Ovis aries: one gene and its partner. The protein of the gene in region 2 interacts with the protein of the main gene of each other region in a biochemical or structural test. Links are inferred from orthologs where the notes say so. Each region holds a gene or a part of one and is shown on either strand. Other genes may lie near its edges.

Region 1 (10,608 bases), on a different chromosome or scaffold from region 2:
AAGATCCCCTGTAGAAGGGAATGGCTACCCACTCCATTATTCTTGCCTGGAGAAGTCCATGGACAGAGGAGCCTGGCAGGCTATAGTCCATTGGGTCATGAGGAGTCAGACATGACTGAGCAGCTAACACGCACACACAGGAGGGGATATAGAGAACAAGGTAACTGGTTCTCTATCCTTAAGGACCTTCCTGCCCTATGGGAGCTCCAGGTGGGTCCTGCGGTTACAGCGCAGGGTGACTGCTGTTGCATTCTATGCCCTCGAGTGCACACTAGTGTGACTCAAATGGCTCAGACTTTAGCTACTTCTGAAGACAGTACAGCAGAAGCCACTGACATCTCCACTGTGGCTTCAGGAAAGCGAAAGGGAAGTCACTCAGTCATGTCCGACTCTTTGCGACCCTATGGACTGTAGCCTACCAGGCTTCTCCATTCATGGGATTTTCCAGGCAAGAGTAACTGGAGTGGGTTGCCTTTTCCTTCTCCAGGGGATCTTCCCGACCCAGGGATCAAACCCAGGTCTCCCGCATTGCAGACAGACGCTTTACCCTCTGAGCCACCAGGGCTTCAGGAAGTATGATTAAATACATTTTGGATAAATCCAAGACAGACTTCTGATTCCTGCTGTCTTCCAATGGGAAGTCATTCCAGGAGTCCAGTGGGAGACGTCATTCACCACAGCTGTGACCACCGTGATCTCCCCACTTCCCTCCACCCCACATAGTGCTCTCTGGATGGAATTTACATCCCTACGGAGGTGATTGCCTCACTGTCATTTACTGCAGTGGCTCGAATGGGAATACTGGTGGTGCTAAAGCTGACTGCCTGAATTTGGATTGTGGCTATACCTCCTTCCAGCACCATGACTTTGGACTGCTTACTCTTCTGACTCAGCTTCTTTGGCTGTGAAATGGGCATAATGGAGTGATTGTGACGATTATACCAGTAAAGTGTTACACTAGCGAGGCTGGACCCTTAGGAAACATTCAGTAAATGCTAGCCCCCTGAGAAGACGTAAAGAGCTTCCCATAAGAAAAGGACTTTTATTATCATTCCAGTTCAGCTGCTTTCAGGAGTTGAAGGACACAGAAGCCTGGCGTGCTGCAGTCCATGGAGTCAAAAAGAGTCAGACACGACTTAGCAACTGAACAGCAACAAATAGAACAGTCAAGGGAAGTAAAATATAAAGGGATGAAGTTTTAGAAACGGTGGTGTAGAATAACCACTTCAGAGGAGGTTGATCTCATTTCTCTGCTCCGCTAGAAGAAACATCATAACTAGCCTGAAACCCTTTGCTTTATTCCCCATCAGTTTTAGAGAAAGGAGGCAGCTAGGGCCATCAGACCTCTTCAAGTTTCTTTTTGACCACACTGGATTGTTTAGCATCACAGATAGGATGTGCAGTGGTGAAGGACAGAGACTTTGCAGCCATATGCTTTGATCCACTTCCTGACCCTCCCACAAACTAGCTGGATGATGCAGGATTACTCCCTCTACCTCGGCCCACGACACTTCTTCATCTACCATATTAGGATAACAATAGTATCTCCCATAGACTTTTCATGTTTGAGAAATTAAATGCATAACATACTTCAGCCTCTTAGAGCAGTGATCAAAAATATTAGGGCTGTGTAAATATGGTGGTGGTCAGTCTCTCAGTCGTGTCTGACTCTGTGACCCCATGAACTGTAACCCACCAGGCTCCTCTTTCCATGAGATTTTTCAAACAATACTCAAGTGGGTTACCATTTCCTACTCCAGAGGATCTTCCTGACCCAGGGATCAAATTCTGATCTCCTGCATCTTCGGCACTGAACTTGAATTCTTTACCGCTGAGCCACCAGGGTAAGCATAGGCGATAGTCATTATAAAACATTGTCATTAGTAAAGAACAGTGCAAAAGATTGATTGTTCAAATGCACAAAATCATGATATACTGAGTCAAAACAAGTTCAACAAGAAGTGTCTTGTCAAAATTGGTGGTCACAAGGCAGTTATTACTAGGAAGATGAACTGGGTTTTGTCCCTACTGTATTTCTTAAAGAATGAATGAATGAGGCCTGAAGAACTGAACCAGTTTGAGAGCATAATAATAATAATAATAAAGACACTTGATCTGGCAGTGAAAATCCTACCTGTGAGGACTGGCTTAGCCCCATTTTAGTTGAGTAAGTGATTCACCTGCCAAGCACTGTTTCTACATCTTTAAAATAGGTTAATGTAAGAGTTTCTAAGGTGCATATTCCAAATCCAAAATTCCATCCTGCCTAGTTATCCTCTGAAATGTTATGAAAGATAATGTGATTCTGTCTTTAGAAGTCTTAAAAATACCTTGATGCTGGGAAGGATTGAAGGCAGGAGGAGAAGGGGATGACAGAGGATGAGATGGTTGGATGGCATTACTGACTTGATGGACATGAGTTTGAGCAAGTTCTGGGAGTTGGTGAAGGATAAGGAATCCTGGCTTGCTGAAGTCTGTGGGGTCGAAGTCAGACATGACTGAGCGACTGAAATGAACTGATTTACATACCTAAGGAATTTCCAAAATGGGTTATCAAGTTGAACATAATCTCATTTTTGGTGTTTTCTGAGTCATAACGCAGGCTTTCCTGGTGGTGCAGATGGTGAAGTATCTGCCTGCAATGCAGGAGACCCAGGTTCAATCTCTGGGTTGGGAAGATTCCCTAAAGAAGGGAATGGCTACCCACTCCAATATTCTTACCTGAAGAATTCTATAGACAGAGGAGCCTGGCAGGCTACAGTCCATGCAAGAATCTGAACCATGAACAAATCTTTAAATCCATGAAAATGGATTATCTTTAGCAAACCCTATACCTTTTAAAGCTCTTAGATTTTGACAATAAAACTGATAAGGACATTTTCCCATTTATCTTAAAGGAATTTTTCAGAGATTCTAAGAATAAAGAATAATCCGCAGGCATCTAATGTTAACTTATCATTAACACATACAGAATGGAAGTAGAATTCTTACTGAGTTTAGCTTAGCTATTCTCAACTAAATGAAATTAAGCTGATTTAGTTGAGCTTTTAAGACATGGCGGTGGCAAGCATAAATCCAAAGGATTTGGGGGAACTAGCACCAGGACTGCCTTTCTTTAGATTGTGTTCCTTGAGGCTGGGTTCCCCAGAGCTGCCTCAGTCATGACTGAGGGTTGGAAAGAAGCTTCGAGAGTCAGCTGAGGACTAGTCCCCTTGTAGGTTTTATAAATTGCATAATGGCATAAAGATTTTACTTGGGGAGAAAAAAGATTCTGTTATGGAAGAAAAAAGGGGGTGGGAGTGTGATTCAAAAATAGAAAGTCTGGATTAAGAACATGGGCCTTGGGTCAAGGAAAATTTAAATTTTGGCTCTGCTACTTTTTAGTTAAGTGATATTGGGCTGGTTGCTTAATCTCTCTTAAGCTGTGCTTTGCACATTTAATGTTTTCTTATTTCACAGGATGACTCTGAGGATTTCATGAGCTAATACCTATAAAGCACTTGACCCATAACTTCTAGAACATAGCAGGCTCTCAATAAATGGTGCTACACTTACTCTTCTAAATGAATCACAGGGTGGATCATTCTGCCTTCCCTTTTGGGGACCTTCTTAGGCTTCTTGTGAAATATCTCAGAGGCATAAGAAGCACTAGTTAAGCTTTCTGCCCTCAAAATTTGGGTCCAAACCTCCGTGTTTTTAGTAAGCCCTAAAAAATCTATGGGTTTTTTCCAAGATCTATTCATGGTTTAATGTGGGCATTGGACAAAGGTTCATTTTGTAAGACTGTCTAAGTAGGTTAAAAATAAAATATGCAAAAATCTGTGGAACTTCAACAATAGAATATAAGAAAAATGGATTATTCTTAGCTGAGAACAAAGGCATTCTAGTATATAAATGTGCATACAGATGCATAGAGAAGAACTGGGAAAGATAGATGTCAACATTTACCTCTGGATAAGAAAGGCAGAGGAATTTACCTGGGTATTATCTTAATGTTTTACACATTTACTTAAATATCAGCTGTGTAAAGACCCCAAACAAAGAAAGGAATAAAAAAGCAAAACCTATAGCAAAGTCATGGTACAAACTGAAATGAACTTTCAGAAAAGATTATGTATGGACAAGAATCAGACTTTATCCCTTAGGGCCCTCCATGATTTGACACAAAGGCATATTCTGCTGTTTTGTCCTTGAAGAGTAAGGACAACAAGAGGGGAGGTTTCTGATACTATCTCCAGAAAATGATAGACCCAGATTCAAAGGCAGATGAAGCTGCGGGGCTGGATGCGTGTGTGCATGCTAAATCGCTTCAGTCGTGTCTGACTCTTTGGGACCCCATGGACTGTAGCCCACCAGGCTCCTCTGTCCATGGGATTCTCCAGGCAAGAATACTGGAGTGGGTTGCCAGGATCTCCTCCAGGAGATCTTCCTGACTGAGGGATAGAACCCATGTTTCTTAGGTCTCCTACATATCTTGGTTTCACGTTCTTTCTCTCTGCAAGCACTCAGGTTAGACATCAGTACCCTGGCTAGTTCTTTGCAAAATGCAAGGTCTACAGAGGCAGCAACTGAAGGCTACTGTTAAATTCTGCTTTTAAGCAAAAAAGAAACTAGATAGTAAATTAACAGTTATTATAGCACATTTTGATAGCAAAGAAAATAAAAGAAAACTTAAAATCTACTTGACAGTTACTCAGTTGATTCAATATATCTGATTGAGAAGTATTAAAATAAATAAATAAATACAAATCAAAAGCCAACCAACCGAAAAAAATCACCGTCACTGTCCCCTCAGTAACATTTAATTAATTAATTAAATGAGAGTAAAGAGTTTACTGAGTTATCAGCTATGGCATTTTTTATTTATTATCAAAACATTTGTTTACTGTGTTGGAAATTGTTTTTTTTACAAAGTGCTTTTTCCTTGGAAAGAAATATCTTGGCTACAGGAAAAATGAAGAAACATGGTGGACTCTGAGAAGTGGCACTGCCTTGCTCCAATTCAACCTGAGTCTTCTCCAGCGGGAGACCTCCTTGCCAAGTGCTGAGGCCTCTGGTGCAGAAGCCAGGACAACGTGGGTTTTGCTTTGGTTTTAATGAATATGTTTTGACCCATGGAGTTTAGGGAAGGTCTTGCTCGACTGATGGGAATTCAGTCACAGGTGTATGGGAAACTGTGTTAGCCCTCTGACCTGGACTGACATGCTGTTCCCAGCCCTGCCTTCCCAGCTTGCCCACTGGGTGCAGGACGTAGTCCAGCCCAGTGTGTAGTTCACAGTGTTCTGTTGGTGGTTTAAGTGAAGGGCTGTGTTTCCAGAGCAGCACAGGAAAGACCTGAATGAAGGAACCGAGAATGAATGAAGAGAATCATTTTGATGGAATTGCCCTGGGGTATCAAATAGACCAGCGCAGCTGGGGGCTGGAGGAAGCTGCTGTTGCTTAAGAAACGCTCCACAAGAATGTCAGTCATCAGTTGCTTAAAAATCATTCATTTCTTACCTCTCACTTATGTATAAATTTGCAGATTTACGCAGACCATCAGTGGGACCATTACAGTGAACTGAGTTTACTGTGAAATACAAGGAAAACCTGCTCCCTTTTCTTTGCTCATTTACAAGCAATGTACCATTAATGTCCTGAACAGAAGAACAAGAATTTAAGAAATAAAATTATACAGCAGCATAACCCCATATTATCACTTGAATTTACACTGCCCATGAAAGGCGGTGTACCAAGTAAAATTGAGGCAACCTGAAATAGAGGATTTAAAATGCTGGACTCCATCAGTTCTCTGAAAGGTCATTTTAGTCCTTTGCTATTTTTACCATAGATAGAGACTCAGCAAGTTATTGGCCAGATGAATCTGGGAAGCTGGAAGCTGCTGCTTCTGAGGCAGGAAGATGATAAAGCTGTACTTGAGACTGAGTGAATGAAAGGTGTGGGAAAAGTTGAAGCCTTCAAAGATAAGAGAGAGCAAGAGCGCACCACGGAATTAGTCCCCAACCAAATTAACTAGCCAATAACTGTACCCAGGCTAATTCTCTTTGAAACTGTTTGTAATCTTGTGGCTTTGGTTGGGAAATTCCCATTCCCAGCTCTAAACCATCCTTAGGACATCTCAGCCCAACCCCCTCCTCCCAAAGCAACTCTGCCTAGGTGCCCTCACCCTCAAATCTGCATCAAGACAGGTCTATTTCCCAGCTGGACCACTGCGACCAGACACACATGACTTCCATTCGGGGCTTTGCCACCGAAACTCGGGCTTACCTCCGGCAAGCAATCAAAGGCATTTCAGACAAGAGCAGAAAACAAAAGAAGCAAACAAAACCCGTCCTTACCCGTTTCTTAAAAAATTGGAAGGCTGAGCATTTCTTGACTGGGAATCCATTCATGTCTTTGTTTACCATTTTCCACAGTGGGGAGTTCACGGTTAACAGATCCAGGGTGGCCCCCACCTGGTCAATGCATCTGGTTCCCGACTTGCCTCCTGGACTAGCTGACGAAGACCGAGCGGGATGGAGAATGCAGCGCGGCTTAGGTTTTCACTCACACATTCTGCAGCACCGGCTGCTGCCGCAACCTCTCTCCGCTCTCAGTTTCCACCGACAGCGGCTCTTCTCTTTCCATCACTGCTCCGAAAGGCAGGCATCACCGCAACAGGACCCCAGGATGCCCCGGATTCCGAGGAGAGGCTCTGGCTGCTGCCCCGCAGGAGAAGGGCACCCCCTGCGCGCCCCCAGCTACCTGGCTGCTCTGCGGCGTGTGCACTGGGAGAGTCGCTCTGCTCCAGGTGATGCGCTTGTGGAGGCTGCCGGAGAGGAGAGCTGTTTTTGATTGTGCAAGTTCCAGTGGGAGCTGTAGTTAAGCAGCTGAGAGAAGGAGTAAGAAAGAGCAGAAGCCAGAGGAAAGGGGGGGGGGGGGGGGGGGGGGGGAGGGAGAGCCGCTCCAGAAAAGCAGAGCGAGAGGGAAAGCAGTGCTGGAAGACACAGCGGTTCATGAATATCGAGCAGCGCGGATGGAGAGTCGGCATCAGCGCGGGATGCACTGAAAAGCAGTTGACTCCCTTCGGGAGGTTTACTTTAATAGCTTTTTTCCCTTTTCTTTTTGTTGTTAGGATCCTTTAAATCAGATTTTCTTATAACATGCAGAATGTTTTAATTTTGTGCTCATTGAAATTCTGTTGGTACATGTTCCTGGGGGCGGGGTGGGGACGGTTCTCAATGGAAATTTAATCAAATTTATTCCCGATCTGTCCAAATGTGGAGACAAATAAAGTGTAACAATGGATGATCTCTCATTATGTAGAACCTTGCTAGTGTCCTCTTCCTACTTGTCATAATATAATAGGCAACTGTGAACATTTGTGTGTGTGTGTGTATTTTCCACTAAAGGAGTCTGTTTTAAAAAAGAACACAATGGGCATATATCCAAAGTGTCTTATGCAAAAAATACAAAGGGCATTACCAAAAAGTGTCGCTGAATCCATTTAGCAGAAAGGATGACTCAAAATGAATAAGAGGGGAAAGCGTTTTTTTCCCCATCAAGTGAAAATCCAACCTTCCTCATTTTTTTACTCATGTTATTCTTTGCACATTAAATTCGTTTTGAAGAGCCATGTAGTTTGTGTGTGGCCAATTTTTCCATGTTTACTTTTTCCTGTCGATATTTTATGGGGATTTTTAACAAAGTTGATAGCTAAATAGAGACAGCAAAGAAAACAATCTTGGCATCCAATTGGGCACTGCTACGACATCAGTGTGTGGCTTTCTGCCAGTCGACTGACCTCACGGTGCCTCTCAGAAGGTGCCTCATCCATGAAATGGAGACAGTTACTCACTCTTTCATTCACTCGTTTATGGACTTAGTCATTCACTTGTGTGCTGTGTCATTCCATGTATCTATATGCCCAAACGGAGCAAGTGTCCCCAGGATGTAGAGCCTTTGCAATGTCACCACAAAGGAATATAGTTAATAAATGAGGGAAAGGCACAATGTCCACTTGATAAAATGAATGGCCAGCTCATTAAAAGCGATATGCCTAACATTGTTAACATATTTATAAGACAGTCTGCGGCAAGGTTAACTGGGAAAGAGATGCACTGATTTCATTGAATTGGAATATACATCTTTAGAGCTGGACCAGGTTTGGTGGGAAATAACAATGAAATCTTGTTAGCTAAATGCCTTGAGATTTCCAAAAGAAAATGTAGCACAACCACATGATGGTATTATAACTGAAGAAAAATAAATGCTTTATTTTGGAGAGATATGTTAAGTTGTCCGAGATGCAAGGAGTATGTTATTTAAACTCCAGCAATGATAGCTTTTGGGGTTCTTCTAAAGAGTTCATTAAAACTCTGGTAGTTTGAAGAGAATGTTTTTTGTCCCCATTCGGCGGTTTGTAGGACCTCAGTTCCCCCACCAGGGACTAAACCCAGGCCATGGCAGTGAAAGCACAAAATCCTAACCGCTAAGCAACCAGGGAACTCCCCAAAGAGAATTATTGAGGCAGGTAGAAATGTCCTTTATCATGATGATGGGGTGGATTATGTGATTATATGCATTTGTCAAAATTTATCAGACTTTATATATGAGGGAGGAAAATTTTACTCTATGTAAATTACAGTTCAATAAACCTGATTAAAATAAATCATGGCCATTCAAATTCTTTCCTGTTTCTCATACTGCCCCTTCCTTAAAAGTATTTTAAGAGATAGTAATTGAATTTGAATAATATGCAAAAGAAGGCCTCTCTAAGCATCCTATTGAAAGTGGGAACTAGGGACTTTGCCTTGATTCCACACTGATATAGCACACATACCGGTTTTCAGTGCACTGTACATTTATTTGGAGTGAAGAAGGGAAGGTTAATAGAAACCATAGAGGAGGAGGTGAGGATAAAGCTAAATCCTATCCCTCCTCACCGCTATATGCCATCCCTTGGAGCTGCTACACTTCACTGAGTCTATGTTATATCCTGTGGTAGGCCCTGTGAATGCAAATATCAATAGTTTATGTTCCTAATGAAGTCACAGCCTACTAAAGAAACACATATCATTGAAAGAATGATATATTGTGTATTTCAGAAATAACATATACAATATATACTGTTGTTTTTCAGTCACCAAGTCGTGTCTGGCACTTTGTGACCCCATGGACTGCAGCACACCAGGCCTCCCTGTCCCTCACCATCTCTCAGAGTTTACCCAAGTTCATGTCCATTGAATCAGTGATGCCATCCAACCATTTTATCCCCTGTTGCCATCTTCTCTTTCTGCCTTTATATGTTATATAATAAGAATGATATATATTGTATATGATTCTATATGTACAAGTGTTAACTTCACCTTGGTTTGAAGGGGTGGCTGAGTGGTTTAGAGAGGAAGGCCTGGGAAGTTTTCCTCAAAGTTAGTTCAGCTCACTTTAAAGAACAAGTGGAGTTTGGTCAGAGGTTGGTCTCTTTCTCCCTGGTCAGAAGGAGAAGCAAAGGGCAGGGGTTCTGACCAGATCAGGTAGCCCATTATTTGAGATGATATTTTGATCACTGTAATAATAGATCAATATGTTTAACTGTACTGTGTTGGCTTCTCAGGGAAAAGCAAGCATCTCTCATCTATTACTTCTCTTTTCATAAATAAAACTGCCTGCAGGTAGGCTCAGAGTGACTGCTCTTTATAAATTTCTCTTTTGCCAAGCTCATTAGTATCTACAAAGGACCATAGACTACCTCTTATGGTAGAACAGTAAATAACTCCTGGACTCTCACAACATCCTGCTTACATATTAAACTTGTTTCAACTTAATTAATTTATTTTCTTACTTTTTTTTTTTTTTTCTATTGGACATGCTCATTCATTTCTGTAGCTTCAGCATACAGTATAGTGCCTGGACCATGCTAGGCACTCAATGAATGCTTTTTTAATGAATTGAAAAAAACAAAAACACTGTGTAAAGCTAACATCAGTGACTCTGTCACCAGGCTATTAGTAAGAACTGTTAAATATTTCTGAAACTCTTAAACCATAAAGTAAACTCCCATCATTATTAATGTGCTGAGCTCTAATTAGACCCAATGACCCTTAGTTCTTCCCAGTTCTTTAAGATTCAATGACTTTGAGACCCTGGGATGACACATCTCTTTTATTAAAAAAACTCTCACGTTGAAAAGAATCTCTTAATCCTCTATTTGCTTTTTGGAATATATTTACCTTTCCTTTCAAGTATAATGTTTAGACTATAACACAAAGAATAAAATAAAGCAAATAGGTAGGACTGACTACCAATATATAAAAGACATGGAGCGAGGCTATGTTGATTTGGAAGATCTGGTTACTAATCTCCCTCCCCTAATTGTATGACCTTGAATAAGTGCCTTCAATTCACTGAACCTCAGTTTCCTCATCTGTAAAATAATAACAAAATGCATTCTGTCTAACTCATAAGGCAGTTGTCAGTATCAATGCAAAAAGTAAATTTCATTAATAGATAGTTGATTTACAATGTTATGTTAGTTTCCGGTGTACAGCAAAGTGATTCAGCTATGCATATATACACATGTACTTTTTCATATTCTGTTCCATTATAGGCTATTGCAAGACAATGAATATA
Region 2 (10,508 bases):
TTCACAGGATGTGTTTTGCCTAGATTTTAAGTCTTTTATGTTTACAGAATGAATTAATAAATACATTAGTCAACTGAGTAACAGATTAGATTCAGTTGTGGCCTACATGGAAAGGGCTGGTAGGTCAGAAGCGTGACAAGAGTATCCTCTCTGGGATGCAGTGCAGGCCTCCCCCAAAAAACGGAACAATCAGCTGTGATGGGCCAGTGGGATCCTCTTCAGATGATTCTGTGATTGTCCTTGATGAATTAATGGCACTTTCTCTCCTTTTCAAAAATCACTGTCAGTTGTATTGGCCCAAAGAGCCATTGATTCTTCCCTCTTTCTTTGCACTCTACGAAACTGTGAACTCACTGATCACCAGAGGCCTCTTTAATTTTGAGTTTGGCAGATTTAAGAATCTGCTAATTGTTTAACAGTGGGGGCATGATTGTGGTGCTTTCTTTATTTTTTCATAAGACATCTCACATTGTTGAGGTTGTCAGTTCATTGTTAACCCAGATCACAGCTGCACCCTGAGCCTTCTCTGGGTGGGCGGGTGATCCTGTTCCTCTTTTCCTTCTGATCATCAGTGGTTGCTCCACTTTGTTTGGCCCGGGTGGATTGCAGAGATTCTGATTCATGTCACCTGCCTTGCTAGCTGCACCAGCTCTGATCCCTGATTCAGTAAGCAGTGGGTGACCTCCCAGAATGCATTTCACTGATGTAAATTATCATTTAACAGCCCAGTGCCCCAGCTGGGAGAGCACGTTCATCAACTGTCACTGGTGGTGAGGCGCCAACGGTAATGACACCCTTGTTCAGACATTCTTGGCAAAACTGTGGGTCTGTTTTAATATTTGGGTAATGGTGAATATACAGTTTTTTCTCTTTGTTTTGAGAAGAGCAGCTTCTGATGTGCCACAGAGCTGCACATTTCTTATTTTAATAAAACCTTACTTTCACACTCCTTGAAAGTACTGGGTAAAACAAAACAATTTTTAGTCCCATGTAGTTCTAAGAGCTGTCAAGCTTTAAGTTTTAATCTGAACCTTTTAGAGTTTATTTCTGCCTTTCAGTGTTTGTTCTCCTGATAAGTTTCCTCCATGTGTTTAGAAGACATGGATAAAATATTTTGGTTGGAGGAGAATCAAGGAAGCCCCAGAAATTGCACACACTTGTACATGTGAATTTCAGTGATGCATTCCCACTGCCGCATTTCAAAGGCTGACTCAGATGTTCTGTATCACAAGCAGGAACCAGTGACCTTTCTCTGTTGCCAGGCCCCCCAACTCACAGGTTCAAAGGTATGAGCAATGGATGTTCAGGAGGAGAACATATGAATATAATTCAGGAGGAGAGAGAAAGTATAATTAAGAAATTGAAAGGATCTAGGAAAAAATGGTGTTTGTAAGCCAAGTGTACTCTTCGTTGTAAGCAATTCCTGCTGTTCATGCTTGTGGGCAACGCATGACTGTGTGCTTCGCCAGTCTTCTCCTTGATCCCTAAACACAGGCTAGCTTATGGTTAGCTTGGTGCTGCTATGGCTGTCTGAAGAGTTTTCGTTGTTGTTTTACCTTTGTATGTTTGTTATCGCTGCTATTATTTGAGAACACCTGTAAATACATACACGATTGCTGATTTTCTGCAGGGTACTGATTTAAAGGAGCAGTCTAGTTACATTGTTAGAATTGACAGCTCAGCATGGTACCCTGGAAAATCGAAGTGGCAGTCAGCAAAAATCAGGCCAGTTTAAGGCATCGAGCCGCAGTGATTGATGTGAAGGGCGCCTGTTGGGTGGGCCAGGCTCACCCTCCCGGAGAACTGAAGAAATTCCAGATGACCTAGTGAGCTTCCTATTGTGCACTTGTCGTTTCCACGGGGATAGAGCTGCGAGGTGGATGAGATCACTTCATGAAATGGCTTTAACAGGAAGCGGGGCCAGTGAGCTTCTACCCCGTCATGCACTGCATTGGCCTCGGGACCTGCTGTGAGTGTCCTGATAGCTGATGGTGTCCAGTGACAGGATGGACTGAGCTAGGATCGTCCCGAGCCAGGCACCTGGCAGGGCAGGGTGACCCACCCAGCAGGGTCCACGCAGCCCTGCCACCAGGCGACGCTTCTTGCCTGTGCCCTCCCCCTTCCCCCAGCAGTGAGCTAAAAATAGCAGTTTGGTTTTTGTTTCTTATCTTTAAAGAGCGGATAGTAATATTTCCTAAATGTTTTATCTACTCTCATGCTTTCTGCATACCTGGTGATCTTTTGGCTCGAGTAAGCCAACCTCCTTTATGACTACATGAGAAACAGTCACATCTGGGTTTTTTTTCCCTACCCTCACCAGCCCTTGTCACCAATAGCCTTTGCTTTTCCAATTCCGTCTCCTCCATGGATTTTCCCCTCTATTATACCTTCTCCCTGTCCACCCCAACACCCAAGTGTGCCCTGTCAGCCTAGAGCAACCCTGGGACTCCCCACCCCTTCTTCCTCTGTGCTCTCACAGATGTACCTGTGGGTACACGCACATAACACGTGCACGCACACACACAGAGAAAATGGAGAGCTCGTATACATATTACTTAATCGACTTGATACTCACTTGGGTCATTTCCCTGGGACATACTGGTTATTACATAATACTGGTTACATTGAGATGCTGGGATGTGAATGCACCAGAGTCCCGTGTTTCCCGAAAAGATGAGCCCTCGGCTGCCTCCCCTTGGCAGCTGCTTGTCCCGCGGCCTCACCCGTCCTGGTGTTGCTCTCTCTCCGTGCAGGGCTTTCACGTCTCTGTTACGATCAGCACGCCCCAGTTCTCACCTGCGGACCCACAGCTCTGACACGTGACAAGTGAATACACAGTGGTGTCACTGTCTAGCTGGCTAAGCCAGAGTCCACTCTATGAGAGGAAATGAAAAGGGATAGCACAGTTTGGGGGGGTTGCTGTCTATCCCCTTAATATTCCACTGAGGTTAGAGTGTGGCAGGGTTTGAGCAAATCTTGAAGATATGTGATAGCGCCAAGCTGTTTATCATCTTTAAAAGCGTTTTGAAAAAATAAAAAAAATAAAAGCGTTTTGAAACTTTTACAGCTTCAGCATTATTGAGCGCTTCATTTTAATGAACTCAATGGAGCTACCCAGAAGCTGTGGTCAAATGGCTCCTTGACATTGTGAAAGACAACAGTAGATGCAGACGGAGAGCTGTGAACTTCTGGCTTCAGCTGACCAGCTGTGTTTCAGTTGGCTCCCCGTTAACTGTTTCTTGAGGTGGCATGGGATGCACGTGTGCAGGAGCAGTACAGACACCTGCCCACGCGCACACACACAAATGCACGCACACGTGCACACACACATACATGCACACGTACCCACACACATGCACACACACCACAGTGTACACACGTATGTGCACATATACTGCAGGAGAGTCTGACATTGGCTCCAGGCTAACACTGCCACAGTCTCTTCATGGACACTGAGCCCCGCTCCTCCCCAGCTGCGGGATGCGTTGTTTTGAGTCACAGATGGAGTTGTCCGCACAGGTAGTTCTTCAGGGTCATTTGGAAAGAAACCTGTAAAGAACCGTTTTAATAACACCATCTTGCATCAGTGGAACTAGATTATACGTTGCCAAGTCATTTCTCCATAGAAGGTAGGATGCACATTTGACTCAAATGCCATGTTCTATACGACACTCCTGCTGCTGCTGCTAAGTCGCTTCAGTCATGTCCGACTCTGTGCGACCCCATAGACGGCAGCCCACCAGGCTCCCCCGTCCCCGGGATTCTCTAGGCAAGAACACTGGAGTGGGTTGCCATTTCCTTCTCTAATGCATGAAAGTGAAAAGTGAAAGTGAAGTTGCTCAGTCGTGTCCGACTCTTAGCAACCCCATGGGCTGCAGCCTACCAGGCTCCTCCGTCCATGGGATTTTCCAGGCAAGAGTACTGGAGTGGGGTGCCATCGCCTTATCCGCTAGGACACTCCTAGTTTTCCATAAACTGATTAGTCCTATTAACTGTGGCTCTATGAAAGTAATCTGGTTGCTGGACGACTCTGCTGGAAGTCTCCCAGCTTTAGACCTCAGTCCTGAGATTATCCATGACACATCCCAGTTATTTTTGTTTATTAGCCTCCCCATAAACGTCCTTTCCAGGGATACCATAACTGTAAAACTATCCTTAAGGTTTCCAGAATGGAGTTTTGTGAAGGCTTATCTAATTGCCTCTCCCCCAAAAAATAACTTGAAGAGGAGGAAAGCAGCAAATTCCATTGGTATTCCATTCAGCCAAAACACATTTGTTCCTCATGTAAACAACAGTAGGTCAAGGCTTGATAGCATGTATTTAGCCAAAAATACTAATTGGCCACTAACTTTTAGGTTGCAACTCGGGTTCCACTTTAGGTCAGCAGAGTCCATTGCCATAGCGTCCAGATAAAAAGTAGCCTGGAAATAGCTCTTTTATGTTGGTGCCACAGCAAGAGGAGGAGGGCAGAAAGAGCTTTCAGCCATAGACAGGTTCATCTGTCTTTAATACAGAAGGATCAAGCCTGTGTGCTGGTGTTTCTTCCACTCTTGTTGTATCCCTGCACCTCAGTTCAGGATGCTACATTGTCAGAGTCTTGAAATTACCGTTATGGGGCCTTGGGGACTTTATCTGGAATAACATCAAGAAATAGTTGCTGAGGTTTTAGCACAAAGTTGTGCAGATGCGCTTGCCCTGCTGGGTTAATGTGTTTTAGAAATAAGTATGAAGGCAGTCACTTCATGGTCTCAGTTTCTCGTGGTTTTTTTGGAGTGTGCTGTTGAACTCATGAAGTAGGATATTAAGCCTCATTGCCTGCGGTCCCCAGATTCCACAGCAGCCTCCCTGATCATGCTTTTCAGTTCGAGGTCTCGCAGTGGACTGGGGGACCCTCTTTGCCAGGAGGCACTGTTGGTAGTGAACACGAAAGATGGGATGGACATGGGGAGAAGCCCGGCTGAGAGGTTAACATCAACCTCATCAAGAAAATACACCATATGTATGCCCGTGGCTGATTCATGTTGGTGTTTGGCAGAAACCAACGGAATTCTGCAAAGCAATTATCCTTCAATTAAAAAAGTAAATTTTAAACAAAAAGAAAATATACCTGGTGAAACATCTGGAGGTTCAGAAGATCCTAATTAGGGAAGATGGGCCCTAAAGGAAGTGGCTCCCTTCTGTAACCACACGTAAGAGATTACTCCTGAATTTAGGCCTCTTGTTTCTTTTACACTCTTGTCAAGAGCCATATCTGCCAAGGCTTCTTGTTCTTGAGCAGCACCCCTACCCCAGTTGCAGGTCTTGTATGCAGCATCCGTACCTGCAGGACTTCCTGGGCAGCACCGACCTCAAACATCCTTCTCTTGGCCTCCATGAGTCATGGAGACATCCTGCTTTCCCAGTATTTCTCCAACCCACCTGCATTTCTCAGACTGCTTCTTACAAGCCGAAAGATCACAGGACTGCTTTAGCGATTTCCTTTGGCGCATCCAAATCTAGTCCCTCCGTGCTGGACATTCTCAGCCCGGAAGCTGCCTGCCTTCCATTCACCCTGTAAAGAGACAAATCCCACATGGGAAGATGGGGGAAATATAGCCTCAGCAGTCAGGTTCCTTGGGAGTTCTGGCCTGCCTCCTCCTGGGCTGGGGCAGCTGAGATGTTCTGGTCGGTCACTAGTGTAAAGGGGGATCTCATAAAAAACAGATTCTGTGTCTCACCCACTCCCCGACCCTGAAATTTACATAGTATAAGGGCCCTAAGGTGTTGAAGAATTTAGGGATAAGCTAGGAGAACATTCCTGTGGCAGCTAGATTGAGGAAGAGATACTTAGAGCATCCCTCTCAGAGACAATAACGTTTGACAGTTTGAAACATCTTTTGAGCTCTATGTGGCTTGAAGTAAAATTTGGTAACCAAACCAAACTGGCATCGTCTTCTCCTTCCTTATGATCACATTGGCAGCAGCCCTCTACGTTGGAGGCTGCGTGGCCTAGAACTGAGTCCTGTGAGGTTTTGACCCTTTAGCTTGGGTGGGGGTTCATTTCACACTAGGTTTAAAGCTGTTGGAAACCTGTTGCTGTTTTCTGGACAGTCGTGTTTCCAGTACCACTAGAATTAACTCACTTTGTCTAGCAGAGCTAATCCTCGGGGTATGTATGACTTTATGAAGCTGATCGAAAAGCAAATGCAGGATACTCAGTAATGATGATTTCTTACACAAACAGCCATCAGTGGCCTATGTACACACCACGCCGGGCCTGCCCTCGGGCTGGGAAGAGAGGAAAGATGCTAAGGGACGCACATACTATGTCAATCATAACAATCGAACCACAACTTGGACTCGGCCTATCGTGCAGGTATGCGGTTTGCCCTGCAGCTTCGGTCACAGGCACTCAGAAGCCAAAACGTCCACGACCCCTGCGTTCCCGAGTTTTAGGTACCGTTCTGAGGAACCCATGTCAAAAGAAGATCTTTTCTTGCAAATGCATTACTTTAAACATAAGATTTTCCTAAGAAAGAATTCAGTCCCTGGCTCAGTCTCTCCCTAGAGGGTCCATTTTATTAAAAAATATATAAATATATATGACCCGAAAGAGATTTTCAAAGGAAGAGCCTGTTGATCCCAGCGGGTAGCGCCCCTCCAGCCCAGGTTTTCTCTGAGGCTGGCTTTTCTGCTGGCTCGTGATTCAGTGTTTACTTCCCCGGAGCGTGTTCCCCCATCCCTCGCCCCCGCCCCCGATGTTGCGTGGGGTCGGCTCCTGCAGGCTTCCCACAGGCCTCTCGTGGCCGCTGGCCGCGCTGTCACTGGGTCCGCACCGCGCAGGGAGCGCCTCGCACGCCGCTAACTTGTGTTTGCCTCCAACGTAGCTCGCAGAAGACGGCGCATCCGGATCCGCCACAAACAGTAACAACCACCTAATCGAGCCTCAGATCCGCCGGCCTCGTAGCCTCAGCTCGCCAACAGTAACTTTATCCGCCCCGCTGGAGGTGAGACGGCTGCCCGGCTCCCCTGACCCCTTCTCACCCGCTCTTCTCTCTCCTCCGGGGGCGCGCAGGGCGCCGCCCCCCTCTCTGGCCGTCGCTGTGTTCGTGGTGAGGGGTGTCCTCGTGCGGCCTCGCTCCATGCTTCCCATCCCTGGACTCTCGCTGATTCTCACTGTCACGGGGCCGCGGCCGCGGCGAGCCCCTGCTGGACGTGGGCGCCTCTCTTCCGAACTCGCTCCATTCTTGTGTTTCACTCCTTACTGCCTCATGAGACGCGCATAGCAGCTCTTTCCAATCCCAGTGCTTCCGCTGAGTTTTTACACACAGCTGTCGCTTCGGTCATTCTTCCTCCCTCCCTACTGTAGGGTCTTCCATCGTGTGGGCCTCGTGTTTCTGACGCGTGTCTGCATCTCTGAGTCACCGCTGGGCATCCGCTTTGCGCCCTCCCGTTTCTGTGGTCTTAGCAACATCCCTTAATATCACAAAGGCCGGAGGCTAAACCTTTGATGCTGTAAACGTGACGGGCATCTTAAAGACGGCTGCGGGCTGCTCTGTGCCCGGGTTTAGGAGGTTGAGGAGTGGCAAGGGGACATGCCTCCTCCAGGCTGGGATGTGGGTGTCCTGGTTAACAATTGTGCCGTCCCAGGTGCCTGTCTCCATTGATAGAGCTTTTTCTTTTTCTGCTCCAGAAATTGCCAGTCCGTCTCCATTAGACTGTGAGCTCATTAAGAGCAGGGCCACGTTTTTCTCCACCTTCTGTAAAATCCCCATCCATAATGGTTACTACCAGAAAATATTTGGGGTTGTGTACTGAGCAGCTATCAAGGGAGGGTGGTTATACTTACTTAATATTGTTGTGTATTGAACCAATAGGGAAACATCACAGTTAGATTGTTTTTTAAAGTAAGCAGATGACAGAAGCAGGTTTCTTTTAGGCGTTTCCCCATGGTCCCATTTCAGAGAGAGGAGTGGTCCCTGACCCCCGGGGACGTGTTGACCACTCTGAACCAGCACGTGTCGAGAGTTCTAATGCTCATTATTATTCCTTAGGGCGCCAAGGACTCACCCGTACGTCGGGCTGTGAAAGATACCCTTTCCAACCCACAGTCCCCACAGCCATCACCTTACAACTCCCCCAAACCACAACACAAAGTCACACAGAGCTTCTTGCCGCCCGGCTGGGAGATGAGGATAGCGCCCAACGGCCGGCCCTTCTTCATTGACCACAACACAAAGACCACGACATGGGTAAGGCCGCTGCTTTGTTTGGCTCCACTTTCACCCCGAGGCCTGGCATCTGTCCCTGACTCAGTATCCATGGTGCTTGCTGAGAAATTTCCTGACACTATAGTATATCCGCTGAGGGTCTCCTGAGCCTTCGCCTCGACTCTGCACATAGGGGCTGGTGGGAGTGGGTGATTTACTGGCACGGACTCACAGCCACCCTGGGTATTGATGCCTTTTCCTCAGAGCACTCATGGGAAGCTCCAGTGTTGACAGTTTACCGTATTTTGGAAGAAAAGGTAGTGCTCCATATTGCTGGAATTTTGGTATTGCCGCTTCCTGTCTTAGGCTGCTGTGACTTTATTAGGAATTCCAGTCTTTTTACAAAGAATTTCTCTGTGTCACTTCTTTTTTTTGCATTTGTGTTGCCATTACCCATCTTTATTTTGATTTGATGCGTCCTTTTGGTGTTTACAGTTGGCATCAGATATGTATTTTACACTCCAGTGCTACATCACACTCTTTAATCGTGGGTTAGGAGATTAAATTTGTAAATTTGATACCTCTTTTTTGTGATCATCTTGTCGCAGGGTTTTTTCCTTAATAACAGTACTCGTCCTCGTACCCCTGAATCACGCACGAGGGGGAGAGAGTATGTATGCTGTGTTAACTTTGAGAAAAATGAGATTAATGAAAAGGACGTGTGCGTATCTTTACATTCCCCTGTTCGCTCTTCCTTCGTTCAGGGCAGTCAGCGGCGGCTCATTGGAGGTAGCATAGAGTTCTTTTTAAAGTCAGTGCTGTTTTTCTGCTGTTTCATCTCTAGGCCAATAGTTAACCTGAAGTGGGTCCTCAGGTTTCCGACTGTTTCTGATGTTCCCGAAGGTTTGTTTTCCTTCCTGCCCCTTATATCCCCAGCTGACTACCCAGGTATGGAGTTGGGCTCCATTCTTTTTATGTGCTGCACTGCTGTTTAGAACCGATGATTACATGAAATCCGGTTGAGTTTTGGTGATTGTCACTGGCCCTGGCTCTTTGGTCTTGGACCAAGAGTCAACACATGCTTTAAATTCCCACTTCTAGTGAAGACACCAAATATACCCAGTTGCTAGAACAGCAGTATCATGTGAAGGAAGAGACCTGGACCCAAGTGACCTGGACTGTCATTTACACTCTGCCCATGGCACGATGGTAATTCAGTCCCTTGAGAACTGGATTAGGCTCTCTCAGATCTCACGGATCACAGTGCAGTGTGTCTTCACGAGGACATTCTTAGCACTCGGGGCAGGGCTGTGCTTGTTGCTGCGGGGCATTCGCCATCCTCGGCCCCTGCCGCCGGATCCCAGCACACTGAAAAGCTCGGGAGCCCCCAGGCATTTCCCAACACCCCTTAGTGAGAACCACTCCAATTTTGAAGTAAAGGTATAACCTGCAGAGAGAATTTAAAATTCAGATCTGGTAGCATTCATTTGGTAAACTCATCACTACTTCTCAGACGTATAATAAGTAACAGTTTCATCTGAAGATAATATTACGGGTTTGTGGCAACAAGAGAGTAATAGATAGGAAGCTCCTTGGAAAACAGAGTGACAGAGGTTGGTTTCAAAGTCTTTTTTTAACCCCCCTCAGGGATGTAGAACCTGTAGCAGTCCTACTACTGAAGCCATTTCTACTTGCTACAGCATTGCTGGGATTTCAGTTCCTCAGCCAGAAATGGGAGCTCCAGAAGTAGGGGGTAAATATTGTGAAAGTAGATGGATTAGTATATGGAGCCACTGTGGCTTGCCAACATAAGCTATGATTTTAGTAATTTGAACTAGCTTAGTAATCAAATCCCCTAACCTTTTCACAGCCTTTCACGCCACAACTGCAGTGTAATCGCAGCTGGGCAGGTTTTCTTTTAAATAGCACCCGCTTTATTTATTGCCTGCATTGTTGCTGAATGAAACCCAGTTTTTTATTTCCCATTGCCCCTTTCGACCAGATACTCGTGACTCACTGATTTTCAAATTTCAATTTGTTAAAACAATGTTTTGTCACGGGTGCTGTCATGAAAATCCTGAAGGGAGCAACAAAGAGTTCCACCAGCCGTCAACACCCTTCCCCGCTCAGCGTGGAGGCCCTGACACAGCTGCGTTATCCCTGCTAAACAAAGGCCCATCCGCAGCGCTGGCTGCAGAGCACATGCTCTGAACACGTGTTTATTCTGACAAAAGGTGGAGGGATGGGGAGAAACAAGAAGATAACTTTCAGCTTAAAACCTGTGTTGAGTTACTTTGGGGGTTGCTTTGTTTTTGTTTG

What was found.
Region 1: of the proteins of NEDD4L (region 2) and SGK1, one has a biochemical effect on the other in vitro, tested with the Homo sapiens proteins (5 studies listed by BioGRID). The link is inferred for Ovis aries from reciprocal best matches to the Homo sapiens genes NEDD4L and SGK1.

What each region holds. Positions count from the first base shown.
Region 1 is NC_056061.1:59,679,405-59,690,012, forward strand, and holds the start of SGK1 (serine/threonine-protein kinase Sgk1), read right to left. Parts: upstream 6,837-10,608; 5' UTR 6,408-6,836; coding exon 6,339-6,407; intron 1-6,338. UniProt on the Homo sapiens protein: Serine/threonine-protein kinase which is involved in the regulation of a wide variety of ion channels, membrane transporters, cellular enzymes, transcription factors, neuronal excitability, cell growth, proliferation, survival, migration and apoptosis.
Region 2 is NC_056076.1:57,808,987-57,819,494, forward strand, and holds part of NEDD4L (E3 ubiquitin-protein ligase NEDD4-like), read left to right. Parts: intron 1-724; coding exon 725-784; intron 785-6,223; coding exon 6,224-6,355; intron 6,356-6,866; coding exon 6,867-6,986; intron 6,987-8,033; coding exon 8,034-8,231; intron 8,232-10,508. UniProt on the Homo sapiens protein: E3 ubiquitin-protein ligase that mediates the polyubiquitination of lysine and cysteine residues on target proteins and is thereby implicated in the regulation of various signaling pathways including autophagy, innate immunity or DNA repair.